Danio rerio: one gene and its partners. The main gene of each other region encodes a partner of the protein of the gene in region 2 in a complex. Links are inferred from orthologs where the notes say so. Each region holds a gene or a part of one and is shown on either strand. Other genes may lie near its edges.

The links.
Region 1: dpm2 (region 2) and pigc share a complex: the UniProt entries of both Homo sapiens proteins name them as parts of the glycosylphosphatidylinositol-N-acetylglucosaminyltransferase (GPI-GnT) complex. The link is inferred for Danio rerio from reciprocal best matches to the Homo sapiens genes DPM2 and PIGC.
Region 3: dpm2 (region 2) and dpm1 share a complex: the UniProt entries of both Homo sapiens proteins name them as parts of the dolichol-phosphate mannose (DPM) synthase complex. The link is inferred for Danio rerio from reciprocal best matches to the Homo sapiens genes DPM2 and DPM1.
Region 4: dpm2 (region 2) and dpm3 share a complex: the UniProt entries of both Homo sapiens proteins name them as parts of the dolichol-phosphate mannose (DPM) synthase complex. The link is inferred for Danio rerio from reciprocal best matches to the Homo sapiens genes DPM2 and DPM3.
Region 5: dpm2 (region 2) and pigq share a complex: the UniProt entries of both Homo sapiens proteins name them as parts of the glycosylphosphatidylinositol-N-acetylglucosaminyltransferase (GPI-GnT) complex. The link is inferred for Danio rerio from reciprocal best matches to the Homo sapiens genes DPM2 and PIGQ.
Region 6: dpm2 (region 2) and pigh share a complex: the UniProt entries of both Homo sapiens proteins name them as parts of the glycosylphosphatidylinositol-N-acetylglucosaminyltransferase (GPI-GnT) complex. The link is inferred for Danio rerio from reciprocal best matches to the Homo sapiens genes DPM2 and PIGH.

Annotation. Positions count from the first base shown.
Region 1 is NC_133195.1:16,064,098-16,069,618, reverse strand, and holds the start of pigc (phosphatidylinositol N-acetylglucosaminyltransferase subunit C), read right to left. Parts: upstream 3,147-5,521; 5' UTR 3,129-3,146; intron 115-3,128; 5' UTR 112-114; coding exon 1-111. UniProt on the Homo sapiens protein: Part of the glycosylphosphatidylinositol-N-acetylglucosaminyltransferase (GPI-GnT) complex that catalyzes the transfer of N-acetylglucosamine from UDP-N-acetylglucosamine to phosphatidylinositol and participates in the first step of GPI biosynthesis.
Region 2 is NC_133180.1:32,330,927-32,336,219, forward strand, and holds dpm2 (dolichol phosphate-mannose biosynthesis regulatory protein), read right to left. Parts: upstream 3,103-5,293; 5' UTR 3,048-3,102; coding exon 3,045-3,047; intron 2,249-3,044; coding exon 2,159-2,248; intron 2,033-2,158; coding exon 1,930-2,032; intron 1,341-1,929; coding exon 1,285-1,340; 3' UTR 741-1,284; downstream 1-740. UniProt on the Homo sapiens protein: Regulates the biosynthesis of dolichol phosphate-mannose. Regulatory subunit of the dolichol-phosphate mannose (DPM) synthase complex; essential for the ER localization and stable expression of DPM1.
Region 3 is NC_133198.1:23,419,950-23,423,193, reverse strand, and holds the end of dpm1 (dolichol-phosphate mannosyltransferase subunit 1), read right to left. Parts: intron 2,482-3,244; coding exon 2,413-2,481; intron 2,330-2,412; coding exon 2,215-2,329; intron 1,296-2,214; coding exon 1,191-1,295; 3' UTR 969-1,190; downstream 1-968. Other genes in the region: adnpb (activity-dependent neuroprotector homeobox b), read right to left, coding at 55-85. UniProt on the Homo sapiens protein: Transfers mannose from GDP-mannose to dolichol monophosphate to form dolichol phosphate mannose (Dol-P-Man) which is the mannosyl donor in pathways leading to N-glycosylation, glycosyl phosphatidylinositol membrane anchoring, and O-mannosylation of proteins; catalytic subunit of the dolichol-phosphate mannose (DPM) synthase complex.
Region 4 is NC_133194.1:9,591,407-9,596,840, reverse strand, and holds dpm3 (dolichol-phosphate mannosyltransferase subunit 3), read left to right. Parts: upstream 1-2,047; 5' UTR 2,048-2,105; intron 2,106-3,509; 5' UTR 3,510-3,552; coding exon 3,553-3,831; 3' UTR 3,832-4,556; downstream 4,557-5,434. UniProt on the Homo sapiens protein: Stabilizer subunit of the dolichol-phosphate mannose (DPM) synthase complex; tethers catalytic subunit DPM1 to the endoplasmic reticulum.
Region 5 is NC_133178.1:25,542,463-25,547,968, reverse strand, and holds the start of pigq (phosphatidylinositol N-acetylglucosaminyltransferase subunit Q), read left to right. Parts: upstream 1-1,971; 5' UTR 1,972-2,224; intron 2,225-2,353; exon of another isoform or gene 2,354-2,392; intron 2,393-2,542; 5' UTR 2,543-2,584; coding exon 2,585-3,282; intron 3,283-3,358; coding exon 3,359-3,490; intron 3,491-5,236; coding exon 5,237-5,357; intron 5,358-5,506. UniProt on the Homo sapiens protein: Part of the glycosylphosphatidylinositol-N-acetylglucosaminyltransferase (GPI-GnT) complex that catalyzes the transfer of N-acetylglucosamine from UDP-N-acetylglucosamine to phosphatidylinositol and participates in the first step of GPI biosynthesis.
Region 6 is NC_133195.1:31,130,977-31,136,144, forward strand, and holds pigh (phosphatidylinositol N-acetylglucosaminyltransferase subunit H), read right to left. Parts: upstream 3,348-5,168; 5' UTR 3,230-3,347; coding exon 3,053-3,229; intron 1,570-3,052; coding exon 1,360-1,569; intron 1,283-1,359; coding exon 1,199-1,282; intron 1,103-1,198; coding exon 1,028-1,102; 3' UTR 1,021-1,027; intron 924-1,020; 3' UTR 509-923; downstream 1-508. UniProt on the Homo sapiens protein: Part of the glycosylphosphatidylinositol-N-acetylglucosaminyltransferase (GPI-GnT) complex that catalyzes the transfer of N-acetylglucosamine from UDP-N-acetylglucosamine to phosphatidylinositol and participates in the first step of GPI biosynthesis.

The DNA of each region.
Region 1 (5,521 bases), on a different chromosome or scaffold from region 2:
CTCCTCCAGGAAACGCCGGTCCACATAGTTGTCTGGGAAAGGCTGCCGTTCATAGAGCACTTTCCTCCACGGGACGGCCGAAGGAGCCCCTGGACCGCTGTCTGCTCCCATCGCCTGTCCAAATCAGAGAACACAGTGGCTGAACATTAGCTATGCATGATATTGGGAAAAAATGTGACATTGCTCATTTTTAGTTTTGCTGCCACATTAGGAATTCTCTATTGAACATGACATGTTTTTATCTAGGAATAATGTTTCTAAAGGAGCTGTTGACATGAGATTGATCCTGATTTTGGTAAAAACTCAAACAATACAAATATTAAAATAGAATAAAATAAAACACATCTGAAAAATAAGTGATGTGTAATAACAATGGAATGACACAAGGAGAAGTGTTGAACTACTGAAATACTTCATATAAAAAGCTTTTTTTGATGATGGCAGCTTAAAGACGCCTCTCATATGGAGAATGAAGTCACATGAATTGCTAAGGTGTGAGTTCTTCAGAGACTTCAACACTGTGTAAAAATCTTAATGGTTATGTGAGTCCCATCTTTCAAATCTGATCTTTAATTTGTATTTTTTATTGGGTTCAAGTCAGGTGATTGGCTGGGCCATTCTACAGCTTGATTTTCTTTCTCTTTTCTTAGCTGTGTTTTGAATCATTGTTTTGCTGAAATTTCCGCTATGGTTTCCTTTTTATCATCCTGCTAATGTAGATGTTGGACTGAAGCAGCTGATATTAATTTACAATGGCGAAGAAAAGGGGGTTGCTGAAGAACTACTGAGAGATTTCAGCTGCTGTCTGGGCTTTTATTGTCATTCTGCACCTCTCTATCTTCATGTGTTTAATATTTTTTCCCTGCTTCATTTTTTTTATTACACATAACTTTATTTGTAAAATAATTAGATTTGTTGTCTTTGCATACTTAGATTTTTTTGATTGTTTTAAACATCTGGGAAATATTTTAAGTCAACAGCGCCTTTAGTAATATGTTTTCTGAAAAGAAAAGGTGATGTGTGGAATACTTATTTCCCCCACTGTTTTGTGACACGAATATAGTTTCACCAGATGAATCGAATACTTCTATTTGGAAAGATTTCATTAATTTAGATCGACTGATTGATCAAGTGTTTTTCTTTTATTTATTATTTTATTGCTTTGATGATGCAATTAACCCTTTGCAGGTAGTTTGATTGACAGGCAATCCAGCCAATAATACTGCTGATATCCTGCGATGATCTTGTATAACTTTCTGCATTGTTGTCAAACAGGCATCATGGTAGAGTAACATTTTACAATACAATGGTGAAAATAATCTCATATGGGACTCCAAATGGTACTCAGGTACACAGAAAATTATTTTCTATGCAGTGAGTTTGCATAAATCATAATGCATTACGAGCATTCATTCATTTTCCTTGGGCTCAAGCTGCAGTCACACTAGAGTTTGTGTGTGCAAAATTCTGTCGTATGGCGATGCGAAAAGGGGCGGGATTAAACAGAATTATTACTATTAAGCATTAAAAAAAGCGAGCGATTGCTCCGTGTTTTCAATTTCTTTTCTTTTTTTCTTCAATTTCAATTTTAGGCCAGTTAAGAAACCAATATTACCGAATATTACCAAAATATTACCAAATATAAGAAACCAATATTAATAACCTAGGTTGTTAATCACAACAATGGAAAATGTTCACAACAATGGTGGGGTGGGCTCTAAAATGACAATACTCAGATTTTAAATTTGGAATAAATGTTATAAGAAAACAATATTTTATATTAATATTTTAAACAATTTGTAAATTCAGTACATCCAGAGAAACTGAGAAATTTTCATTGGTCTTTAAGTACACTTAATTTTTTTTTTATTGTCAACATTTACTCCCCCTTCACTTGTTTAAACCCTGTTTGGGTTTCTTTCTTCTGCTGAGCACAAAAGTAGATGTTTTGAAGAATGCTGGTAATACGTATGGGTTGATAACCGTATTCAAGGTATACCACGGTTTGGAAAAATCAAGGTTTTAAATTTTTTTTTTTTGCTATACCGTTCCAATGGTTTATGTAGGTTTGTTTGTTTTTATGTTTTTAGGACATAAGTATCTCCAGCAGAAGATATCCTAAAATGCCATTTTTAAATTATAAATAAATCAGTGTTTTTGAAGCTAATCAAGAGGGAGGAAGTCAAAGATTGATTTAAATTATTTAGCCTGACATGTTTATTGTTACAAAATATTTTTAAAAGTTTGTCAAAATAAAATATATTGTGTTCAAAGGTAGAAAAAAGTTTGTTGTTTATCCAGACGATTAAAAAGAATTTATTTTAGAGCAGTAATAGCAATACCGTGATATTTTCATCCAAGGTTATCATACATCACAATCTTAAACCAGCCTATCGTCACCTTAGAATAATAAGGTTTTATCTGCATTCTGAATGATTTTAAAATATTGAGCTTCAAAGTTTTTGCATTGCATAGCAAACAGTATGTGTGTAACATTTGTTTTTTAAATAAAAAATCTTAAAATGTAAACAACTTATAAAAAAACATCGCATAATGTAAATAAGTTGTCATTTAGTAAGAATATGTCAATAACTCAGTTTTGACAAAAATGTCAAATAGAACCTTATAAGGTGACGCCATGTCTAGCTGATACCTGGCACCCTTTGACTTCAATAGCAATTGCTTTGCCTTTGTAAGTAGATGGGTCCCAGCATCCATCATTCATCAAAGTATCTTCTTTATGTTCGACAGAAGAAAGAAACTCATAAAGGTTTAAAACCAATTAGAGGGGCCAGTTAGATTTTTGCGTGAACTACACCCTGTTCTCCACATATCATGTATTTGCTTCATAGTTTATATATAAAGAAAAACATTAAACACCACAAAACTTTAAGCAGCATTGTTTATCTTTGTGTAAGTAAAACGTGCATTTAATCAATCTATTATTATCCTAAATGTCAAGCGGTATCTGACTGACAGCTTCTCACGTCAATCTGATTCATACAGAATGAATCAATCATACAGTCATACAGTAAGCCAGCTGGCGACAGTGTATAAATACAGACAAAATATATTATTTCATATCAAACTTATACAGAATAATGTTCAAGATAAATCTAAAATCTTACCGAATGAGCAGGGTTTCCTGTATTTAGCCGCAGCTGTCAAGCCATCATACATCCGGAAGTGACGTACCAAAAAACAAAAACAAAAGCGCAACCGTGGTATTGACTGAAGAGCGCCACCTGACGACTGTTCCTCACAACCGCCGACGAGTGAAAAGTGAGATGCATATACATTTAATATTTATATAGTCTATGGGTAATCCTCTCTTGATTAATTTGTAACAGCATATGACTAAAATTTAAATAAAAAAACAGTGTTTAGTAATTTGAGTTATTGTTACATTTGTTTGACCCTCATTAGTGGATAATCATATTTGGAGTCCGTCTGCACACAAACAATTTATTTTCATTCATTTTAGTTACTAATATTACACTAATACTTCAGTATTAGAGTATTTAAAATAATTTGACTCAAACAATATTGTATAACACAGGGCTTCTTTCATTTGTAGCGGACTCCTCAAATGTGATTGATTTTATTTTATTCTACAATTATTTTTTTTCATTCATGAGGAAAAAGTGTCGTTTTGGATGTGACATGTCTCCATAATGGATGTGACAGATGTACAATTGCCACTTGTGTGACTTTGGTAAATTAAATACAGTAGTTTGAAAAAATTGACAGAGACATTTATTTATTTATTATTGAATTATTTTTAGTTTAGCACTTTAATACTGAGTAAAACAGCTTATTGGCTTTAAAATGAAGGATTTATTTCATACAGTTGTAATAAAAGTCCATCAACGAACGTATAGAAACACCAAGCTAAGATTCATTCATTCAGATGTAAAAAAAAAAAGCATCAAACCTATTCACAATCAACATGTAGTTCTAGATATTGGCCAGAAGGTGGTGATATGAGATCAGAAATTCAACGAGAAAAGATCAGTAACTAAAATAATGTAATATATATATATATCATCCTTTATATTAAGTCAATAATAATAATAATAGTAATAATAATTGTTTCTATATTTTATAATTGTGCAGAGTCAGATCAAGGGCTGCACAGTGGCGTAGTGGGTAGCACGTTCACCTCACAGTAAGAAGGTAGCTGGTTCAAGCCATATGGTCCAATTGGCATTTCTTGCATGTTCTCCCCGTGTTTGCATGGGTTACAGCAGTACAGGTGAATTAGCTAAGCTAAATTGTCCATATGTGTGTGAATGAGTATGTATGGATGTTTCCCAGTGATGGGTTGCAGCTGGAAGGGCATCTGCTGCATAGAACATATCCTGAATAAGTTGGTGGTTCATTCTGCTGTGGTGACCCCAAATTCATAAAGGGACTGAGCTGAAAAGAAAATGAATGAATGAATGAATGAATGAATGAATGAATGAGAGTCAGATCAAGTTAAAGGCTATGAACTAACTTGAGCAACTATGATGAAGCCACTATTACATTGGAAGCACAAAACAGTCTGACCAATAGACAAACAGAAAAGCACAGAGCAGAGCAGAAAGAGCAGCAGATCCTAGAGGACAGACACTCTCAGAGGAAAAGTGTTGTTGTAGAAACACAGAAATAGACCAGAGAGAGAGAGAAATCATTTTTTTTTACCATACTTAAATAAATCAACTTACTTGTAGGCATGGGCCGGTATAAGATTCTGACGGTGTAATAACCTTGGATATAAATAGCACAGTTTTACTGTTTCATGGTATTCTGCTCAATGCTCTAAAATCTGTTCTTTTTAAATGTCTGGGTAAAAAACAAGAACTTTTTTCCCATTTGAACACAATATATTTTCATTTGAGAAACATTTACAATATTTTGGAGCAGTAAACATGACGGGCTGAATAATTCAAGTCAATCATTGACTTTTGCTGTCTTCATTAGTTTCAACAACAGACTTCTTCACAATTAAAAACAGCATCTATGTATGAGAGATGGAGATACTGTTGTCCTAAAAACAAAACAAACAAAAAAAAAATGCAAATAAAAAATCTTACACATACCTTTGTAGAGCTGAGCGATATGGCAAAAATGTCATCTCGAAAATCATTTTCCATATTGAACGATAACAATATATTTTTAAGTTGTTAATGCTTTAAGATTTTAAAAGAGTATCCCAACAAGGACTGAAGTCACAAAAATTAGAGGATCCGATTAAACAGCATAACATATTTTCGGCCAAAAAATTTTCAGTGGCCAAAGATTCGGTCCATCTCTAATATCACACACTTTTAGATTCCCATTGTGGCACTTTTCTGCTGTGTGATTGGCTCCTAGATTATTATAGAGTTAAAAGTGCATTGCTTATCATTGTTACAGACATAAATTTGATTGTGATTCAATATAATATTGTTTATCGGCTCAGACTAATACCGTAGGATGGCAGAAAATTTTATCAGTTTTAAAACCTTGACTTTTTCAAACCGTGATATAAATTTAA
Region 2 (5,293 bases):
TAAAGCTGAGAATAAAAGCTAGTATTTTTTCATTTGGGGTGAAATGTCTCTTTAACAGAATTTGCATTTGGCATTGATTGTTGTTGTTGTCAAAAAGGTTGTTTGCAGAAACTGCCGATCTACTGGGCTTTTCATTCATTCATTCATTTTTTTGTCAGCTTAGTCCCTTTATTAATCTGGGGTCACCACAGCGGAATGAACCGCCAACTTATCCAGCAAGTTTTTACGCAGCAGATGCCATTCCAGTCGCAACCCATCTCTGGGAAACATCCACACACACATTCACACACATACACTACGGACAATTTAGCCTACCCAATTCACATGTACTGCATGTCTTTGGACTGTGGGGGAAACCGGAGCACCCACGCGAAGGCAGGGAGAACATGCAAACTCCACACAGAAACGCCAACTGAGCCGAGGTTCGAACCAGCGACCTTCTTGCTTTGAGGCGACAGCACATCCTACTGCGCCACTGCCTCGCCCTACTGGGCTTTTATAGCAAAATAATATAATAAAATATTTAATGAGCATCCGTTCTGTGGGTAAAAATGACTTGTTAATGCAAGAGGCCAAAGAATAGCCAGACTGGTTCAATAGAAAGGTAAGCAGTAACACAGCACAAGAGTAACAACCACTATCATTACAGCTGAGATATTAAAATCACCTCAAACCCTAAAAACAGATGAGCTACAGTAGCAGAAGTGTTATGTCAAATAAATCATATAAAACACATGACATAGGTATATTTCTGTTCATTTAATGAGGAATTGTTTGAAACAGCAAAAAATCCCTTTCCCATTATTTTCAGACTCTTCTTCTGATATTTGAGGCTAAAAGGAAGCACTCTACCTCATAAATATGTCTATTTACAAAACAAGAGAACAGCTGAAACACACAGACTTAAAGCATAGTACAAGAACAATGAAACATTACTCCCATATTTCATTTAGATGTGCTCTAAACTACACACATGTCTTATGTGCCTATTTTATCATCTTATGTATTATTCACGCTAATTCCCTAAATCATTGCACTACTAGCATGGTCTTGAGTCAATGTTGTAGCTACTAGATGTACAAAGCTCAGGTAGACTATTATTGTGTACATGTTCAGTACGGCTTTGGTGAATTAGTTAACTCTATTTTGATGTTCATTTTAACAACTACAGCACCTGAACATGACAAATGACTGGATTCCAGAAGTTCATCCTCTTCACATGGATGAGTAAAACCAACGCTGATCATTCTTGCTGCAGTACGAATCACAACAACCTGGAGAGTCTTAATCAACTTTCTTAGGTTTTCGATTCTTCCATGTTACGATCCCTATGAATGTGCCTTAAAGAGAAGTAGAACATTTGATTATTAAATACAGAGGAAAACATGAAAAGCTTTTAATTTTAAGGTTAGCTGTGCAAACATGCTAAAAGTGAACAATGTTTAAAATCATTTAGTAAATCTATTTGCAGCGTTCAAGAAAATGCAAGAAAAACTATTTTGACAGAATTATGTTCACATAAATTTAATTAACACAATTATTATGTTAAAGTAAAAGTTTAATCATCCGGTTTAAATATTTCAAAACTATTGATTGTAATAATAATTTTCTGATAAATAATTTTTATTCTCAACATTTGCAATTTAAATTTTGCTTATCTGTTTCTATATTTTAGCTCCCCACGTTGATGTTGCTTTTACTATTTGTTCATGTTTGTGAAGCACTTTTGAGTTGTATGTTATGCTGGAAAAGTGCTATACAAATAAAATGTATTATTACTATAAATTATTATTTTTATTAAAGAAGGATTTTGTTTTTCGCTTTCCTCACTGAGGCATAAATGCTTAAAATGACCATATTTTAATCAAAATTTACAGCATGAACATGTCATGTTAATTTTTTTATGGTTTTATTACTTGATCTGCTTACCAACAAAGAGCAAGAGGATTAATGCTGCGATGCCAGGAAGTATGACTGAATATTCTCGTGGAAGAAAATAGCTGTGTATCACATGGTCACTGTCTACGAAAGGCTGGAATAAGAGCAGAAGAGTTTCCATCACTTTTTTTAGCAGCATATGTTTTAGTAGCACAGGAAATAAGTAACACATTGTGCATGATTTATCTACCGGTAAAAATGAATTTAACTGATCACTTACCAAGACTACCACCCAAATGGAGTAATATGTGAACAGCAAAAGACTAAAGCCAACGAGTCCAAAGCCAACAGCTTGATCTGCTCCGGTTGCCTTAAGATAAATAGTTTTTGGGCTTAGCTCATATATTAACACATCACATTTTATATAAATTGCAAAAATAAGTAATTCAATAAAATATTTATACAAATTATACAATAAAATAATATACAATTTCTTAAGTCTTATTTGGGGTTATTTCAATTGTATTTTACAATCAAAACAAAAATAATAATAATAATAATTTTACCTCAAGTTTAACATAAATTAAGAACATGTATGAAGATTTTAGATGCAAATATCTCTAAATGCCATCTGAGTTTTTCCTCTAAAATAAGCATTTTTATCAGATTCCAGTGTGTATGTTCAGTAATATCACTTTAGGACAAAGAATAAGTCCTTTTCCTGTTCTTTAAAGTGAAATATCTCAACATAAACAAAGGAGGTAGGTAAAAATTTTAAATTTTCCATGGAAATTTAGGATGGCACTTAACGTTAGAGGTTTTTGCATCTGAACTCTTCATATGTACATACATAGAGCTTATAAAGACTTTCTGTCTGGATCTCTGGATCACAGCAAAGTATATATTGGCCTAGCTTTCAGCAGCGGTCTTTAAACTATGAACGAACAAGTAATGAATAAATATAATTTTAAATAAAAAGTAAGTTATATAACATGTCTAAAAACTGAAACTCTCATGAACCAGACGCATCACATTAACTAGAAAATTGAACAGTAAGTTAACTCTCTAGGAACGACGAGGCGTCTTAAAATGTGTTCTGTAATATACAAAATATATAAATACACAGGACAAAACAACAATTTTATACCCATTTAATTTCATCTTACCATTACGAACGTGCCACTTCCGCATGAGCTGTAAAACGTACGTACTTCCGACAGGCAAAGGAAGTGCTGGGAATTGTAGTTTACAACTCACCTTGGTTTTTTCATTATTCATCACACGAGGGCGCACAAACACAGATCCAGGTTTAGATACCCTCCAAAAAGAACAGTATGAAACAATAGAAAAAAATAACATAAGAGATAAAGAGAAGGCATGTTCCCCCTGCGTTCGCCTGGGTTTCCTCCGGGTGCTCCGGTTTCCCCCACAGTCCAAAGACATGCGGTACAGGTGAATTGGGTAGGCTTAAGTGTCCATAGTGTGTGTGTGTGTGTTTGTGTGTGTGTGTGTGTGTGTGGATGTTTCCCAGAGATGGGTTGCGGCTGGTAGGGCATCCGCTGCGTAAAAACATGCTGGATAAGTTGGCGGTTCATTCCGCTGTGGCGACCCCGGATTAATAAAGGGACTAAGCCAACAAGAAAATGAATGAATGAATAAAGAGAAGAGAGAAATGGAAAGACATTAAATATTTATAAGTATTAAATTAATTGTTCACATTATTATTTATTAGCATAAAAAATTTGTTTTGCAAATCAGAGTTAAGGCTACTTACACGAAGACCTTAAAAGCAAAGCATATTTTCACAGTTTTTAAAGCTTTCTTATTAGATTCTGAAATCAACTTTATATTGGCTATAATTCTTTCTCCACATCTTTAATGAAGACCATAAAGGCAGCTGCAACCCAGTATTGGGAAACATCCACACACTCACATTCACACACATACAATACTTATTCTGAGAGAATGAGTTAAACTGATAAATATATTTGGTTTTGTTATTTTAGTATTTCGGCCCTCTGCTTGAGAAGTGTTTTTCTGCTCAGTGTGTGTAAGTGTCCAGTAGGTGGCGCTGTAAGGAAAAGTTTTGCATGTGGTTTTATGGTACATACATGATCATGATGCTGCAAAATACTACAGTTGGATTACATTAGACTATATCGCAGGGAGATGTGCACAAACACACACGTAGGCTATATACGTATAGTTTCCGATCTCCGCCGCCGCCGTTTGAAACCCGGTCCATTGTTTAACACTTCCATCTGAATTTCGGAGACAAATGTTGGCAGATACAGCCAGAATAAAAAAAAACAGTTGATTCACTTCAGTCTTCACATACAGTAAGGTCACATTGATCCTCATTCCACATACGAACCAGTAGAGTCAGACACAGGACATGTTATAGGAGGGAAACTATATTTGAACTAAGACAGTTAGCCTATATTTTTATTCCTGACTTAGTTAAACCCATCAATGTTAAATTGTGTGTTTGTGGAGATATGTTAAACCCATGATGCTGTTGCAAATGTTTTAGCAGTAATGCAAATCCTTGGCTACAACACTCTGGATCAGTTGGAACAAAAAACTTGGTGAAATGTTACCAACAACCCCAAGCAAATTTAGCTGTGTCTATATATTTAATTTCACCTGTGCTCTGTGTGCTCATGAAGCCTGCACACACAAACAGTCCTATATAATTGTTAAACTGATGCACATTTAAACATTTTATTCATCTTTGTAACAGAGACAAACACAGATTATACTCGGAGCTGAGTCCTTTTTTGTCATAATTCTGATTTATAATGTTACATGTCACCCCAGTGAATATCCTGTTACAATTGGATGCTTGAAACGTAACTGTGCATTTTCTGTTTGTGCTACAAAGATAACATGTAGGCCATTTAAAAGCTGACACTTGTAGCTAGTTTGAATCACATTTTGAACACACTGGCTTAAAATATCTCAAGGATATAGAAAGGTAAACAAAAAGTTACAACTGTACCAGCCTATATTTGTGCTTCTAATGTAACTTAATTATTTACAGACCAAAATGGAACAACTTACAGATCTTTTTATAGACTTTACTAAATAAAAAATGACCAGTTGTAGTTTTAAACTGGTTTTCTGAATATTCTGAGTTGGACAAGGGGGAATATGACAAGCACATTCATCCATTGTAAAAGCGCTATACAAATAAAGCTGAATTGAATGACAAAACGATATAAATTGTAATAGTTTCAGTGGCTTTAATGGGAATTGTATTGATGGAAACTGTAATGGTCCCTGCAGGTCTCTATACTGGTAATCTATTGTCTCCTATCAGTGGCTTGTGTTAAAATCACTACATAACGGAGCATGACCCCAAATACAATACAAGCTATTAAAATGAACTGATGTTAACAAATTTTTTAAAGGT
Region 3 (3,244 bases), on a different chromosome or scaffold from region 2:
CGGTAAGAGGACTCCGACGACGACCAGTCTAATATTCACCCTATATAAGCTTACCTGAAGTGCACAAGTGTGTGTGTGCACGCATATAGCGTTTTATTAAATGCTCCTGAAATTGGTGTAAACAGCCCCTGGGTGCAGTTACATGCTATGAGGCCATAGGGGGCGCTATCGGCTGTGAGTTGATTGGATAGAAGCGTATGCGTCAATTCTGCATCTGGTATCTACCCCCGCAGAGAGTCGGATGTATACAGTGCCTCAGTACCTCCAGCGTTGGAGCAGCATGAGTTCGGGTGGTGGCGCTGTACCGCGCTCCTGCGCAACTCACCGGGACTACTTCTGCATGTCAAGAGCTGGGGTTGCAGACTCTGAAGCCATGGTGATTCCCCCACCCCTGAGCCCTGGAGTTATTCCCCTCCTGGTGGTGGATGTAGCACACTCACCCTATGTGTGTTCTACTAGTTTGGGGTGTCATTTGGGCACTCTAAACCCAAAGTGAATGGGCAATCCTGACTGTGAGGGAGGAGACAGATCGGAAATTGATGGCAGTGGATCATGGGATGTGGCATACTGTTTTCCTGTTTCATTGACTGATGAGTGACCTATTTTATAATTCAGCCTCATCAATTTGATTCATTTTAAATCCAAAGTATTGTCATAAATTATTTTATATCAATTGGTTAAAATACCTTTTTATAACCAAAATGATTTTGGAACAATATTTTTTTTATTTTAAGACATCTCTATTGCCATTCGTAAAGGTACAAAACAATACATGTGAATGCTCAAATGAATATTTAAAGGGTTTTCACAGAAATTCAGTTTGAGAAGCATTTTGAGAAGAACATTTCAGTCATTGAATGAATCCAGTTTGTAGGGATGAGTTCATTTCTTAATAGAACCACAATGATGCTTTTTATAGCCTAAAAACATAGTTCATATGAAATAAGTGTTAGTACTTCAAAAACTAGCTCTCAGTTTGGTCCTTTTATTACAATTCAGAACATTTGAATGTACATTTCTAAACATTGCCTAGTAATTAACAAAACTAAGTAGAAGGAACGTGGTAAATCCAAGCATAATGACCTCATTACTTGGTAATCAAGTAATTATTCTAGCTTCTCGCTCCACTGCAGTGATAATAAGCGCTGATCATACATCACAACACTAAATGCAACCAAATAGGTCAAAGGTCATGTAGTGGCAAAAAGAGTGAGCAGTCCTTTCAGGAAGGAGACGATTTCATTTCCACCTAATTTGGACTCTCCATAAACACGGTCCACAAATGAAATGGGAACCTGAATAACAGACAAAAAAAAAAAAAAAAAGCTACGTTAAGAAATCGATCAAATAAACCATTCTGCTACTATGAAACAGAATGAAAAACAAAAGTGTTTGTATTAAATATAGTACAGTGACTCATAATTTCCAGCTTACAAAATAAGAGGCTTTTACACTTTTTCACAGTTCCTAGAACCATAACATGGTTTCTGGAGTGTTCGCACTGTAGGAACTGGGAATGATTTAAGTTAAACAACACTGTTTTATTGGACTAAATTAGCTCCTGGATTAGATCAGGGTGTAATCCATCAAAATAGCAGCTACAGTGATGTAAACCCTGGCAGAGAATTTGAATACACATTCACATAATATGGGCAACACGGTGGTACAGTGGTTAGTGCTGCCACTTCACAGCAAGGTCGCTAGTTTCAGTCTCGGCTAAGTCAGTTGGCATTTCTGAGTGGAGTTTGCATGTTCTCCTCATGTTCGTGTGGGTTTCCCCCACAGTCCAAACACGTGCTGTAGGTGAATTGGGTAAGGTAATTTGTCTGTAGTGTATGCGTGTATGTCCTGATCCTTCAGATTGGGGGTTGAGCATTGAGCTAACAATTCATATCCTAAAAACTAGATGTTTCCAAACACCAATATGATGCGACCAAATATCAACTTTGATATAAAAGCCTTGACATAATCTGCATTATCATGAAACATCTTTGTTATTTTGATGTCACTGTCAGCATGGCTTACATCACCTTAGATTTCCTGCTGGCAGTGGGGAAATACGTTTTCGATGAACAGGGCCTAGCAGTTAGTTTCAGTAACTACCCAGAGCAAAATGCCACTATAGTCCAAGTATTACACAAATATATCTAAACCATTTTTTAAATAACTGGCAATAACTGCATTCATAGGAAATGTGGAAAGAGATGTGCTGACCTCTCCAATTGTATAGCCCAGTTGTCTGGCCCGGACAATCATCTCCATCTGGAACACATAGCCTTTTGACACACACTGCTCCACTAGTTTTTCCAGAACCTCTTTCTTATAGAGCCTAAAACAAAGAACACGTTATTTATAATGACAATACAGTTTATGAGAAGTAATAAGACTGATTTCTTTATAAACATGCCTCACCTAAAACTCCCAGTAAGATCAGACGCTCCTGGTCTGAGCAGAACTTGTGTTACAAAGTTTGCCCCTCGACTAAAACAAAAAAAAGTTATATCAACCAAGTAATATAGTACCACAAAATGTGAGAGTATATGTGCCATGGAATAATCTAAGCCCTGTTTTTATTTATTCTGAGTGGTCGGTTGACATTGCCATATCAAACTGACATTTACAAGTATTTGGATGCATCGCTTGCGTGACCACATGTGCTGTAAGTGAATTTCACTACGACCTTTCCTTACAGACACTTTCTACATCACTATTGCAAGTACTTCTGAATGAACTAACCAATGTTCTACAGCTTTTGTGCAGGTGGAAGAGCAAGAAAATGAAAAGAATGTGAAAACTAGATTTTTTATTGTATTTTGATGTTTTGACACAGCGGAGAGAAGCATGAATGACTTGTTTTATTGCGCTTTCTGTCCGCATACCCTATAACAGCTGTGTTAATGGCTGCTTTAATGCGTTTGACCACAATAATAAATAAAAAAAAGTTGAAAGTGTACAAGCTCAAATTGTGTTTGTCCTTATTTTTTAAACCAACACTTGTGCATTTATACTTGTATGTACCTTTATCTAGTTTACAGAAATTGGGCCACAGACTAGGGTAGAGTTTCCCAATCCTGTTCCTGGAGATCTACCTTCCTGCAGAGTTCTGCTGCAATCTTGATTAAACACACCTTCTTTAACTACCAAGTGCTTCTTCAGATCCTACTTAGTCGGTTTAGTTGATTTTGATCAGGGTTGGCACTGAACTCTCCAGAAAGGCAGATCTCCAAGAATAGGATTGGGCACC
Region 4 (5,434 bases), on a different chromosome or scaffold from region 2:
TAATACTGAGTTACCTTTGCATAACTCATTGAGTGTGACGATACTTTCGATTTACTTTTGCGTAACTTATTCACTGAGTGCTACCATACTTTTAAGTTATTTTTGCATAATTGTGTGATTCAATGTCACTGTTAATTTCAATTCAGCAATATATGTTTTAAGGTAATTAATGAAACAAAAAAAAATCAAATATCATTACTTAATTTTTTAAAAGTAATACGCTACTTACTCGTTACTTAGAAAAGTATATTTATTACGTAACTTGTATTGTAATGTGTTACCCCCAATCACTGGGCCTACATAATAGCAACTTTTCATTTTCTGTCAATCTTAATGCATAATGTAACTAGAGAAGTGTCAAGCTTTAAATAAGAATAAGAACTCACTTGTCTTTGAACAAGATGCTAATGGTCTAATCCGACTCAATGATCGATGCTGAACTAAGATAAAGGTGCTTTTGTAAGACATGGAGATCAGCTGAATAAATGCAAAAATGGTAAAACTCAATTGTTTTAACTGTTTAGGGAAATAGTAAAATGAGCCGATTTTCAAAAAAGTCAACATGTGCCAGCTCCAAATCATTCTATTTCCCTTTTGACCTTCATGTTCTGGTCTCGTTCTTTAAGTTGTGGGTGTTGTTCTGCTCCATCACCCCCTCTATCTCAGTGCAGCCTGTTCTGTTGTGTCTGCCAACTGCTCTCTGCTGGATCACAGGTTTCCTGAGCTGGAGAGCAGGGACTGGCAGTCTCAAACACTGTGAACGGCCAACTTGCTTTTTTCCCACTGCGCTTCGTGTATGTTCTGTTCACTGAACGCACACTCCTACGCAAACACCCCGGCAGAAGAAAATCACACTGATTATGAAGAGAATTACAGCAATCACAGATAGATAGATAGATAGATAGATAGATAGATAGATAGATAGATAGATAGATAGATAGATAGATAGATAGTCCCACACACATGCCACACTTGCTACACTTCTCTTTTACAGCCGTTCTCTGTACTGAAAGAGGCAGTCGCTGACAAGTGTAAACACCACTAAGAATAACCTCACAGTGATCTCAGCGCTGTCTGAGTGATGTTTATACCCTCTCGGCGGGTGAGGAGGTGTGATGGGTCACGGACGTGCTCAATGGGCGGATGTTCGCCCGCGGCATCCAAAACACAGCACTGTCCACCACTGCCAGCAGGACAGAGACAGAGAAAACAGCTTCAGACTGATGGAGCGCGGGCGTTTCATTTCCTGCCAGCATCACAGATAAAAAAACCTAAATCTCTCAATTGAGGAAAAGGTTCAGTGGATCTTATATATTTTAACTCAATTTAAAAAGCGGAATCAGATCAATTAATTAAATGTACTGTAGGTTAATTTCAGATTCGAATATACAAAATTATTACTGCATTTGTATGTAGGCCTACATTTACAAAAAAAAATCATTGCTGTTCAATCCTACTTTATTTTTTCTCATACACTCTAAAAACGTTGAGTTATTTATTTTAACCCACTGGTCGAGTTAAACATTTATGGTTCATTGCTGGGTTACTTTTAACCTTTATTAAGTTATTTATTTAATAGCTCAACCAGTTATGTTAAATATTTGGTGCTCTGGCTTTGTTGGGTTATTGATTTAATAACTCAACAGTTGGGTGAAAAAAATTGAATTTCAACAGTCAACTGATTTAACTGACACAGTTATGCCTATGTAATGCTGTTTTTGCGCTATAAACTTAAGCTTTAACACAATAATATTGCAGATACAGTATATACTAATATTAGACTAAAGCCTACATTTAAGATAATGGAGTAAAAAGAAACGAAATGCCCATTTCCCCTTCTCTTTCAGCAGGGTTTAGGAGATCAGTATTTCATAAAGGTTTGTTTAAGTTTTAAACAAACAGACAAACTTCCAGTTATACTAAAAAAATGCTGTTTTGGTCCTTAGATATTTAATTATCTCTCGTTTCTATAAACATTTGAAAGCACAGACCGTTTTAAAAACAACCGTGAAGACGTGCACTACATTTCCCATAATACTATTCGCCATTTACGTCATCAACCTGCGTCAATAATCCGAAAACAGTGAGCTGGCATTGAATAGTAGGTAAGAGAGAGAGTTTATTAGTAACGTTACATTATAAGTCCAGTTTCATTTATTAACATAAATTTTTAGTCGCTAATTATTGACGCCAAGTTAACAGATTTCCTCCGTTTAGCGCTGACTGTCAGATTTCATTGTAACCACCTGTAATCATTAGCAATCGTGCTAGCTTTAATACGAGTGAGGATTAAAGCGAATTTAAAAGCAGTATATGCATTTATTCTAATTTTTAGTCACATATGATGTTTCTTGATCTTCTGATTTCGTCTGTATCAAACACTGGTCAAAAAAACGAAGCTTTGAGGCTTTTAATCTAATGTTCTGCATTGTTTATTAGAAATATTCTTATTTTTTAAGTGCACTATACTCATGTTTTAACTAAATATTTATATGGAACGCACAAAAGCCATACAGTGTCATTTAAATACAATTAAGTGAAATATAACAGCCTAACCTTATTGAGGTAAAGTTTTTATATATTCGCTCAATCAGACTTCATGCTTAATAATATTACTTCAAAATAGTATTCTTTGCCAATTCAAATGGTGTAATCATATTAGCAGCCAATAACCATCAAAGCAAAACAATTTTCACAGTCAATTAAATAGAGCTGATGTTGTTTTGAAGTCATACTTGCATAAGATTTCTGACCAAACAGGTTGCGAATTACATGGGGAGTTTGGGAAGTATTAACCCTCTAATTAAGGCTGGATCCCTCTTGAAGGACGTCCAAACAAGATGTATTGATGGGTCAGCGTTTTAAAACTGAAAGTTCACTCTGATCTGTATTTTAAGTAATAATGTTAATAATTAAAATAGTAGACATCCATATGACCACCCCTATAAAGGTTCATACCATTGTGAATGCATAATTGTGCCCGTCAGTCTACGCGAGAAAAAAAGTCATTCAACAGTATGAAACTGGCAGATTCAGAGCACCGATAGACACCGTAAGAATTAGCAAGGCTGTTTTCTTATAAAATAGGGGTTTGTTTCTACATGTAGCCTAAAAGCAAACTCAAATTAGATGCATAGTTTGTAAAGTTTGACCTAAGATAAGTTGAAATGGCTAGCCTGTCAGAATACACTAAACAGCCTTTCCAATAAAACACTGAAAACTGAAATACACTTATTTATAATTCAATATAATATATACATTTTTGAATAAATTAGGTGTAATTTAAATAAATACGTGAATTTGATTCACTGAAGCATGTATTACACAAACATTACTGATAAAGTCAATGTATAATTCGCACACTAAGACTAAATATTTAAAGTAGCGTGGTAAACAATATAATTACCATTTCACTGTTAAAAAAATAAATAAATAAATTAACAAGTGTGCGAATACTAAACCAACTTCACCTCATTTCTAACATTATATTCTCCTATTTATCCTCAAAGGTGGATTATCTGTGTCTTCAATCATCTCGCAATCCCCCAAACCATGACCAAGCTTCTGCAGTGGCTTCTTGCGGTGTCTCTGATTGGCATTGCATGGGGACTCGTTACCTTCGACCTCCTGGATTTGCATTTGCTGCCCCAGTATAAAGAGCTTGCATGGCCGATGCCCGTGTACCTGCTGGTGGTGTTTGGGTGTTATTCTCTGGCCACTGTCGGCTACCGTGTGGCTACATTTAATGACTGTGAGGATGCGGCCAAAGAGCTGCAAGCGCAAATAAAAGAAGCCAAAGAGGACTTGAGGAAGAAAGGACTGAAGATGTGAAACTAGTTTGTGATTATCAATATTCTTTATTTCTCTGTGCACAACATTTCCTCCACGGTGACTGCAGTCTGGTTCTATGGATGTTTGCACTGTCATATGGACTAAAATGAAAACAGGTCAGCTTAGTTCATGTTTATTTCAACATGGTGTAAACTCCTGCACACCTGTGAATCTATTTTCAGCTCCAGGACAGCTTTATTTAAAACATTACTGAAACATTGTGGACATATTGTCAGTGCAGAGAAGTGCTATTTTTGTACAGTCCCAAGTCCAGAGTGTGTGTATTTGCATTGGCCGAGGAATGAATATGGCTCTTTCTGTTTTTAGTGAAGTCAGAATTCGGTTTCAGATTTACACATGAACTGTGCTTGTGAAAGAAATGTGTCGGTCAATTAAAAAAAAAAAAAAAAAAAAAAAGATTTACAAATGTAAAACATTTGTGTTGAATTCCATTACGGTACTTATTAAATAACATTTTAAGGGTCAGAATGTTTAATTTGAACATTATGTGGTATTTGATTGCCTGAATAGATAAAAACTACTTTATAAGGTAATTTTCCATTGCGTTTTCTCCAGGACATTCCACATAATAAAACTGATGCTTGATGCAAAATGTGTAAATCACATGTCAATCAAAACACAGACCGATTCATTTTCAACTGCAATGTAAATGTAACTTTTTGAAGCTGTTAATAAAACAAAGATGTATGCTTTAAAAAAAAAAAGCTTCAGTCTTACTGGTTCAACGCTTCACACCAGGAATAACTACAAAGAGATAAAAAAAAAAAAGTATCCTCAGCTAAAATAATTGCATTATTACCAGACCCACTTTGGGAATTTTTTTTTTTTAAGTTTATGAACAAAATCACTGATAGCCAGTGGTGGATAAGAGTACAGAAAAGTCATACCTAAGTACCATTACTTGCCTAAAAATGTAGTGCAGGTAGAATAAAAGAATCTGATGTAAATATTACTCAAAGTATGAGTAAAAAGTAGAGCTTTCAAAAGTACTCAGAAGTATTACACTAAAAAGCTGATGCATTTATATGTAATTAGTGAGTGTGTGTAAACGTAACATTCTGTAGTGCATTAAGTTATAGCCAAGGCCAGACAGAAACTGCGGACATTTTTTGCTATTTCTGTGCAGAATATTGTAAAAAATCTGCGGATTTATGTGGAATGATTTTGGGTGGATCGTAACTAAAATTTAAGTAATAAAATTTAAATAAGTAAAAAAAATTAAAATAAATATATATTTTAAACTTTATTGTAAGTAATATTACTGAACTAATTTAAAAATTGAATAAATATAAATTCACACACATTTAAAAAACAATACAAATAGAATCGATGGCCTGGAAATCTGTGGATTTCTGCACGCGCAGATTCCGTGTAGGCCTAGTTATTGCCCAGCAGGTACACAACATCATAAGACGTTAATATTAGGTGTGATTTAGGTAGTGATGTCAGGTGAACAAAATTCACTGACTAGCCAGCATCTAAGGACAATGTTATTTTGATGTCCAATAACGATTTGATATTTGGTTGATTTTAGGTTGTGTTAGAAAGTGACCAAAACCCAACGTCATATTGACCTCAAATG
Region 5 (5,506 bases), on a different chromosome or scaffold from region 2:
CCCATGTTTGATACCACTATTCTTCAAAATATCTTCTTATGTGTCCCTCAAAAGTAAGAAAATATAATGCTGAATTTACATTTATGGTTTGACTCTCCGTTAGAAAAGCTATTTGAACGGTTAAATATTAATTTGTATCGGGCTTGATTCGACGTCTAACTTGTCGCAGTTAATTTAACTTAATTTGGATTGTGTAAAAACTTTGAAGTTTAGGCATTAGGACACAAAGAGACACCTTAATGGCTATGAGTTCAAAGCTTTTGTAAGTCTGTGATTTTTTTTATTTATTATTATCCCTTCCTGATATTATAATTTAAGACCAGTCTGTCCAACCTCCGAATCGTCAATATTTGCTATATTTTATCACTTTAAAACTCAGGGTTATATTAATGTGACTATAGCGCCATCTTCTGGTAGCCACACAATTTTTTTTACATCCTTAATTCAGGTTGATCCAAGTATGTCCAAGAATACCGGAGGGAGATGTTTTATTTTTATTTATTTATTGTTTATTAATATTTTATTCTTGCAAGAATAAGAAGACGTTTATTTCATTTGGCAAATATGGTTAACCTACAAATCACGGTTACACCTGCCTATAAAGTTATTTTTGTTGTTTTATTTTGTGTCCCAAAAATAAACATTATGATTAAATTTATTATTTTAAATAGGCAAATTAACATTTGTAAAATAATAAAGCCACAGCCTTCTCTACAGCCTTTGTTCTTCTTTTTTTTTCTTCCATCAGTTCCCTCCTAAATGTAAGTGTTATCATGTGAGAGAAGCTGTTATCAAGAAAGAAAAGCTGGTTTTGTGGGGCCCCTTTGTCTTGAATGTTAAGATAGCTAACGTTTCATTTAGGAAAAGTCTCATTTAGACACATTCACAGATCAGAGGTTCATGTAAGTACACTCTTCTACGCTTAGGTTTTATGGCTCATGTCATGCAGTCCTAACTCTGCTAAGTGCTTTAATGATCAAAAATATTATTATTTGAAAATAATCTCTGAAAAAGCATGAAAAAACAGTGCTTTTTGCCTTAAAGAATATTTCACGTTTTTTGTTAAGAAAACATACTAAATATATCCTGCTTTAAAGTGTACTTTTCATTGCATATTTGTTTCTGTAGATTTCATTATCCAATATCTGCAACATTTTATTGAATAATGTTTTGGGAAAAATTTTTAATCTTCCTTTTGCAAATTAGTACACGTTTAATTCATCATATATATACACAAACATCAAATATATACACAAATTCATGCATAAATAAAACAATAAATATATAAATATGGAAATCAATCAATAAATAAATGAATAAATACACAAATTCCTGCGTAATTTAACAAAACATGCATCTTTTGTTTTTTTTTAACAAAAAAAAATGCTCAAATAAATAAATAAATAAATGTGAATATAAATCTACAAATTCCTGCAAAAATAAAACAATTATTAAATACTCAAATAAATGTATATATAAATCTACAATTTTCTGCAAAAATAAATATATAAATAATTAATAGTGTGGTGTAAAAGAGGGGAAATCTACTTTCAGTTTAGCATTTTCTTATTTTCCCAACATCCATGTAACTTATTTAGTTATTAATCTGCCCGCACTATATTTCTTTATGCAGGAATTTGTGGGTTTTTAATATATATTTATTTGCATATTTATTTATTGTTTTATTTATGCGGAAATTTGTGGATTTATTAATTAATTCTTTTATTTATTTGTTTATTTATTTTGTATATTTATTTATTTATTTATTGTTTTTGTCGTCCATATGTATAGTAGCATATTTGGTTATTTCTTTATCTGCTACTATTGCTCATCTGATCTTTTTTTTAAATATAATGATAAATGAATGGAATCATTCATTGGGAAAATTGTTTTTGGCGGAAAAATTGCCATTCAAAACTTACTTGAACTATTTGAGTCGGAACAAAAAAATATCCATTAAGTTCACCCGGCGGAATTTTAACGACGGACTGTAAACAATATGAACGTTACGGTCCGTCTAATCCATTGAAAAACTGGTTTCCAGTTAGTTTAACAAAAGCACGTGCTGGATTATTCAATAGCATATCTATTACAATTGCCCTATGATTTCGCGTTATTTTTTGAGATAATGCCAGCGTTGATTAACGCACTTAGTAACGTTAATTTAATCGTCGCCTCCTACAGAACAACTTCTCAGAATTTCTCGACCTTCAAAATCAACAAGGTAACTTTATAAACACTTAACTAGCAATTACAGCATATAATAGCACGTCCTTGCATTTGTCAATGGTAGTGCCGTGAATAAAATCGATGAGAGTTTTGCCCGAAGCGTGTGGTTGCCATAGAAATGACCGATTTGAAGGGCACAGCTATATAGCTGTCCTCGTTAGATGTGTGTGCTGCTAACATACAACACGTTTGTTTGTTTGCTTGTTTTTAACTACTCAGAATGCTGTATTATACGTGCTATAATGTCTAACACATATGGTGCTTTTTGTGTTCTTGTTTCTAGCGTTAAAATAATGCTTTTGTGCCCACACAGGACTGTATATTTCGCTGTTGGTGGACTTTATAGCACACAGACATGGTGCTGAAGATCTTCTTCCCTCAATGCTGCAACACTGCTGACAGTGGCCTGCTGGTCGGGCGCTGGATCCCAGGACACAATTCTGCTGTGGTACTAGCTGTCGTTCACTATCCATTCATACCCGGACAGGTAAAAAAGTACTTGAGTGAGATCCAGAGCCAGACTCAAGTGGATCTTGCCGTGCTGGGTTCCTGGAGTATGCCAAAAGAAGGTCAAGAAGGATTGGACAGCTTCCTCAAAGACCTGAGCACCATCTTTCCTCAGAAATGTTGGCTGCAGTTGAGCCGTGAGATTGGCAAAAGAGGCTTTACATGTCGGGTGGTTCAAAACAATGGGATGCTTCTACAGGACAAAGAGCAGAAGAGTGATGTAGATGGCAGTGAAGAAGATAAGATCATCCTCGTTCATTATGACCAAAGGAAGGTGATGCTGTCGCAGCTTCATCCGGTGCAAGAGGCTGACCAAAAGTCTGAAATCGAGCCGTCAGAGCTGCGCTTGGTCTTCCAAACAGTTGCTCAAAGTCAGCCTCTGTTTTTCCTGGATAAATACGACGACGGGCCGCTGAAACTCACCCACTGGCAGTCTGAAGGGAGGGAGGCTAGTATTATTGCAGAGCTTCTTAAACAAGCATCTGTGCCGGTGTGCATCTGCCTCACGTGGTTGCTTTCTCTTTGGCTTTGGTTTTGCAGCTTTAGGTGAGTTCAAGTGGACCATCTTCTGTCTGTTTTCAGTATTGAAAATGTGTTAATCACATCCTTTCTTGTTTGACAGGATTTTAAATATACCTCCTGTGAAGTTCATTACAAGCAAGCTGTCCACGTGTGTTCAGTCGGGTTACAGGGCCGTTCATTTTAAGACCGTTTTCTCCCCTAAAAAAGCTGATACACACATGGATTTCATGAGGTAGGGGTAGATCCGCAGATTTTAGCCAATCATTGAGTGTATTTATTTACTTGTTTAAATGTGTGTGCATTTATATTTATTCAGTTTTTAAATTCATTTCAGTAGTATGATTGACTAATATTAAAAGGTTCAGATGATTTGTTTACAATAGTTTGTAAGTAATATGTTCTGTCTTTTAGTAGAGATATTATATGAGAGACTTGCTTTGTTTACCAAATCAGTGGATCTAATTGGATTTGCATTGTAAACATTAAATAAAAGTTAAAAAGGTATTCTTTTTCATGTCATATATTAAGTTTTTAGTCACGATACTCCCAAAATCATTTCGCAAAAATTCCCCCCCCTTTTTTTTTTTTTTTTACAAAATTCTGTGCAGAAATTGCAAAAAATGTCTGCAGATTTTGTCTGGCCCTAGGAAGGGGTCAATCACATAAAACGAGTGTTTTCATTTGATAACAAAAGAGAAAAAAACATTAGCATTGACTTTTGCCTTGTGCTTTGTTTATTTGATTTTGAAAAACGTGTAAGTCTGTTAGGGGTGCACAATATATCGTTTTAGCATCAATATCACAATGTGTGTAAGCGCAATAGTCACATCACATAGATATGCAGTGTTGATTTGGGATTATAGTTGAGCCAGTGTCACAGTTCAAAACATGAGATTTGTTGAATCACTGCAGAAATTAAATATAATGGAGTGACATTTATAATTTGCATGTTTTTAAGGCCTAAGAGACATTAAGTATTCAGACACAGGACGTTTTACCAATCGGAAGATTAATTATATTGAATTATTTATACAGTAAAGACTTTGCAGTGTCATTTTTACATTTACAAAACCATAAAGCATGTTTATTTCACTTTTATTTTTACATTATTCACTCTTCTACTAAATCATCCCAATTAATCAAAATTTATACATTCGGTAACATTTTAGGGACCAATTCTCATTATTAACCAGTAGCTTATTAGCATGCATGTTATTGAGATATCGGCTGTTTATTAGTACTTATAAACTACATTTTCTGCATAATCTTATACTTCATCCCTAGTCCTACCAATACCTAATCTACCTTAATAACTATTAATAAGGAGCAAATTAGGAGTTTGAGACAAAAGCCATATAATTAAACCATAAAATAATAATAATAAATTATTTTCAAATAAGTGCTATTCAGTCTTAGGAGAAATTGTATAAATTTCACACTATATATTGCAATATATATTACACTATATATATATTGCAGAAGAACAAAATTTTGCAATGTCAGATTTTTCCAATATCATGCAGATTCTTAATCCCTATTTTAAAAATCAGTTTAATGAAATAAAACACTCTCTGAAGTTAAAAGTATTTTAAAAGTAAATTTCATAACATGTATAAGTAATGATTATTGTTCTCATTAAAACAATTTTAAGTACTCATCAATACTCAAGGTAATTAATCTTGCATTAATAAAAAGGTCAAGTGTCCTGATATTTTAAGAGACTTATTTATTATGACAATTGTTGCATTGTAAATGCTATTCTAAAATAAAAATCTACATTCATTCTTGTAATGAAACATTTTGATCTTAATGTTTAGATTTGTTTTTACTTGTTCTTCAAAATATTATTTAGAATGAAATGCAATATTAGAAATCATTATAAAAATAGCATGTTAATTACTTAAATGTTTAACTTTTTAATTAGATTTTTCAATCAAATATAATCTCTTAACTCTTTCTTTTTTTCACTCCTCTGCAGAAAAGCAAACATCTTTGTGTCTTTCCTTGTGGACATAGCCTTTGGTTTGCTGCTCATCTCATGGCTGTATAGGGAGAATCGTATCAGCAAATTAGCCAATACTCTGGTACCTGTGGCTGATGTAAGTATGACAATATATTTCCATTAAAAAGTTTTAGGGTTACATTATTTATTTAAGTCTCTTTGACTAGGCCTGTCACAATAATCAATATATCGATTTATCACACAACACATGGACATGACCTCAATCTTTTTTGCCGATGCAATATA
Region 6 (5,168 bases), on a different chromosome or scaffold from region 2:
CATGTAAAAGGATGCGTTGCTTTAGTTTTCTTTCCCTGATTAGGGAATTTAATTAGCTGTAAAAATGTCTAACAGCTTATGTGACATGTATCTTTTTAAATAATAAAAATAATAACAATAAAAAAAACTAAATATGAACCAAAAAATTAAGACTGATTATTGGTGATTGGGTGTCAGCCCGATAGGGTAGCTTTAAATGGAAATAGTAAAATAAGACCTGTGTAAAATGATTTAAGACTCGCAGCACAATATTGCAGTGAATTTCAAACTTAAGGCCTAAAATTTTGTTTTTTGAAATTTAAGACACTTTATTACTTTGTAAGACCTCGGGGACACCCTGTTAAAAGCATTTAAGCAATTATGTCTGTAGCTTTAACAAAGATTACTTGTATTTAAATATTTATACCATACAGTAATTGTTTCAGTGTCATATTTATTTCTGTATTGTTAGTCTCACCAGTGAACCATAGACCATTGTATTTTCTGTTGTACTTATTTTTTCTTGTGATTTGTTATATTTGATCCAAATGTGCTCCCCTAAAATGGAAAATAATAATAATAATAATAACAATAATCACCCTAATCAATCTAAAATAATGAATTATTTCTGAATAGATCTATTCAAGTCTTCATATTAAAATATATATTGAAAATATTCCGTTGTCAGTTTTTTTTAACAAAATTATGCAAAACAAGTGTGAACACATCCTAAAAAACTAAATGGCTAATCATTAAATAATGTTTTAAATGAGGCAAGAATACTGTTATGTACAAACGTTTTTGAATGCGAAGCCTATCTAAAAACTTCTGCATGTAACAAAATGCATTGTGTATTACTGACAATACAAAAAAGCTACCAACAATGTGCTTATGATTCGTTCTGGAGTTTTCCAATCTTCATTCATCTTCAAAGAAAGCCTCTGCTGATCGAAAAACATGGAGTCATAAAGCATATATAGACACAGAACTATGTCAGTCATGTAAAACATGCAGAATATCTAGCAAAACATGAAGCATTACCTCTGCGTCATCTGCTCTGTGCTAGAATTTCTTGACAGCTCTTGTACACTTGAATCAAACAATTGAGCCGAGGCTTTGAACTCTGGAGGAAGAACCAAAGGTGTTCATTTACATACTGAGATGTCACAAATTCCTATAATCTTGCTTTTGCGAATGAATAACAACAGCTGTTTTGAACCTGGAAGAGAGGAACAACACTGGTCACCGTCTCAGGATCTGCTGGGTCCTTGATGAGAATGCACAGATAGTATATGATGTTGTGCTGAGGAGCAAAAACACAAACACTGATTATTTTTACATCTCGATATCTATCATGCGTGAAGGTCACTGTGTGTTTACCATATAAACAGCCTCATTTATGACGATGTCTTTCAGCTTGCTCATCTCAATGAAAGTCGTGCTTTCTCGTCCAGAGGCGTAAGACGAGGACAATTGGACACCCAGAGAGCCTATTATGAGAAGGGTCTCATGGTCCACCTTCACAAAGTGAATATGAATCACCATCCCAACTAAAGTGAGGATGATGGCACTTGACAGAACCGCCGTGTTCTGAATATTAAACAGAAGGAGAATTATATTAGATCAATAAGAGCAATTAGGTTAGATTTATATTGAACATTTGCTTGACATTCACGAAAATATTTCATATATTCTATTATAATATCAAACTTTCAATCGCAGCCATGTTGGAAATTCCTGAATAAGTTCTTCTTGCTTAGTACTAAGTGGAATTTTGAGATATATACTAGGGCTGTATGATATTGGGAAAAAGCTGATATTGCAGTATTTAGTTTTTTGTCAATACACATTGAGATTCTGTAAATAAATTCACCAGATGAAATGAATAGCTCTATTTGGAAAGAATTTACATAATTTTACATTGATTATGATGATTTTGTGGAGTGTATCTGCATCAAATTTAATAAATCAATCAAAAGTATTGATAAAAACAGTAGAGCAAAGCGATGAATGAAAACAACAACCTTCTAGCAGTATTCGGGTACTCAAATTGAGTAATCAAATGTAAAATAGTTTTCATTATTTCATTATGCATGAATGCTTTACATGCTTACACAATCACAGGCCTTAAAAACACAAACATGATTAATTTGGGTTCCTGTTCGACTATAATCCTGCCAAATGAAATGGTTACTGAGTGTATTGGATTTAGAGGGATACGACTTTATTGAACCAACATATTCTGTATTTTGGTTTTATCTTCTTTAAAATTGCATATTGTGATGGGTAAAGAAAGCATTTTTTATGGTTTGGCTCATGTGATAAAATCACTGAATACAGTTGAAGACCACATGATCAGCCTTACTGTAAAATCCTTTTTCTTAGAATAATTGCCGATGGATATTTTAACAGAGCAAGGAAAATATTTACAGTATTTCCAAATATACTTTTCATTTACACTTTTTAGAAGCTTTTTTTTTTCAGAGAAACTATATATTGTTTTCTTATTTTGATCTCCAAATACAGCCTCATGCACAATCAAATGTTTTAACCTGCACTCAGCAGCTGTAATAAATGCACTATAAATGACAACGTAAACTACTTCTGTTTCCTCACTATATGGACGTACATTTTAAATATGTATTTTTTTTCCCTTAAGAAATATTAAATATTGGCTACAGATCAAACCACTGTTGTCCAATGATTTGACCTAGTTAACCCTAAATAACCCAGTTAAGCCTTTAAATTGCATTTTTAGATTAATATTACTAGTATTTTGCAAAATAAATTGTAAAATATTATTTAATTTCATTATGGCAAAAAACAAAATAATTATGTTATCATTAAATTCTTTTTTTAAATAAAATCTTCTCTAAACGTTAAAGAAAACTTGGGAAAATAACTTAGTAAAAAAAAGTTCAATTTCAAAGGAGGGCTAATAAATTTGTTTTCAACTGTATAATAGACGTTTTCGCGCAATGTCAAATCAAAGTCCAATAAACAGTCATTTTTTGTCTAATAAACAGCAAAAGACGCCAAGGCCTTCATAGTCCGCATGATAAAATGTTCTTACCTGGGTGAAGAAGAACACAGCATAAGCAAATAACCACACACAGCAGGTGTACACCATCACCTTGCGCAAGGACAGTTTGGGTGAGGTAACAGTAAACTCTCTGCAGAAAGAAGAGTGCGTTTGGCAGTCTAAAGAAATCCAGTTGCCATTTATGTCTGTGAACTCTTCGTCGGCCATCTCGATCACTGCTGGTTATTTCGCGGTCGGAAAATTACATTAATAAAGACTTCAGAATAAATAGTTTTGCTTAGATTATTATTTTTCCACCAACAGTAAAACCATCTTCTTCTTATGATAATGTGACGTTGGCAAAATAACATACAGGTGCGTTTTCGCCATCTACTGGACTGGGGTTGAAAACTCCCATTCTGGACCACAAAACCAGTTGCACAAAAATATTTAGCTCTCGCTCCAGTGAAAACAAGTACACTGTAAAGTACATTGTAAAAGCCTAAATGATCTTTTTCATTAAGTTATTTACTGAGCTATGTTTCACAAAAATATATTTTTTTAAATAAATACAAGTAAATAATAAAATTTTTGATTAGTAATATTTGCACCTCCAGGTTGGAGGAAAGTTCTTACCCCAGGTAGAGGAGTTTAAGTTTCTTGGGGTTTTGTTCACGAGTGAGGGAAGGATGGAAAGTGATATTGACAGGTGGATTGATGCAACGTCATCAGTAATGCAGTCGATGTACCGGTCCGTTGTGGTAAAGAAGGAGCTGAGCCGAAAGGTAAAGCTCTCGATTTACCGGTCAATCTACGTTCCTACTCTCACCAGTGGTCATGAGATTTGGGTCATGACGGAAAGGAAAAGATCTCATATACAAGAGGCCAAAATTAGTTTCCTTTGAAGGGTGGCAGGGTGCACTCTTATGGATAGGGTGAGGAGCTCTGACACCCGGGAGGAGCTCAGAGTAGAGCCGCTGCTTGTCCACATCGAGAGAAGTCAGCTGAGAAGTCTGCCTCCTGGACGTCTACCTTGGGAGGTGTTCCAGGCATGTCCCACCAGGAGGAGGCCTCGGGGAAGACCCAGGACGGCTCTCGGCTGGCCTGGGAACAGCAGGATACCCCCGGAGTGCCATGTGAAATACGCTAACTGTTTTGATGTTATTAGATTATGCAGTAAGACTATATTAACTTGAGTAACAATTAAAATGTTAAGTATTTTATTTTATTTATATTTTAGTGTCTTTGTCACCAGCAATGTGAAGGTAATAATCGACCAAATAAATGTAGCCTACAATAAAAAAACTGCCTAGTACATTCCCATAAATTGTATTCTACCACCATTTTGTTTTTGAAATATTTTTCAGATGACCTCTCCCCATTGCATTATCGATTCTTTAGGAAATGTATGAGATCTGACTGCATTTCCCATCAGCCCCTGCGGTCGGTAACCTTTGACTCCCGCTCCAGTGAAAACAAGCCGATCAGCTGATCTGACCTGGCAACAACATTCACCCGAATCTACCGGGGAGGGGAATCATTTTACAAGCTGGTGGGCAAAAACAGTTATCTTCACATCAACCGGCTTATTGTTTTTGTGTTTATGACAGAGTCGTTGTCGTGTGCGATGTTTGAGGGAATTCAGCAGCTCGTTTGTTGAAAACTGCGGTGTGATTCTGGCTCGAAATCAGCTTGTTTTGTTCGGTCAAAGCTCTGTTGATCAGTGTGTGTTGTTGGGTGAACATACTTTAAGGACTGTACGATACTAAACCATTATTAATTCAGATACAGAAGTCATATTTTCTAACCCCACTAGTATTTAGTCTTTGAAACTAGAGGAGACAGCCCAGTCACGTATGCTAATCGTAGCTAGCTTGAGTAACAAAAGCCCAGGGCGATAACAACACTCGAATGTAGCTGTTTTCTCAGTGTTTATGTCTGCCAATACAAACATTTCGATACTTATGGCTTGTAGATTGTCAGTTTAGACCGCTTGAACACTTTTAAATCAATTAGAAAGCTCGACAATCTGTCCTAGTGCCAGTGCTACACGGATGTCAACTGATCTATTTATAGTTCATATTGAATATTTGATTTTAAGCCAGTGTCATAATTTGACATCACATTTTGAATTCCAATGAAATTCACAGCAGACGAGTGAGATATA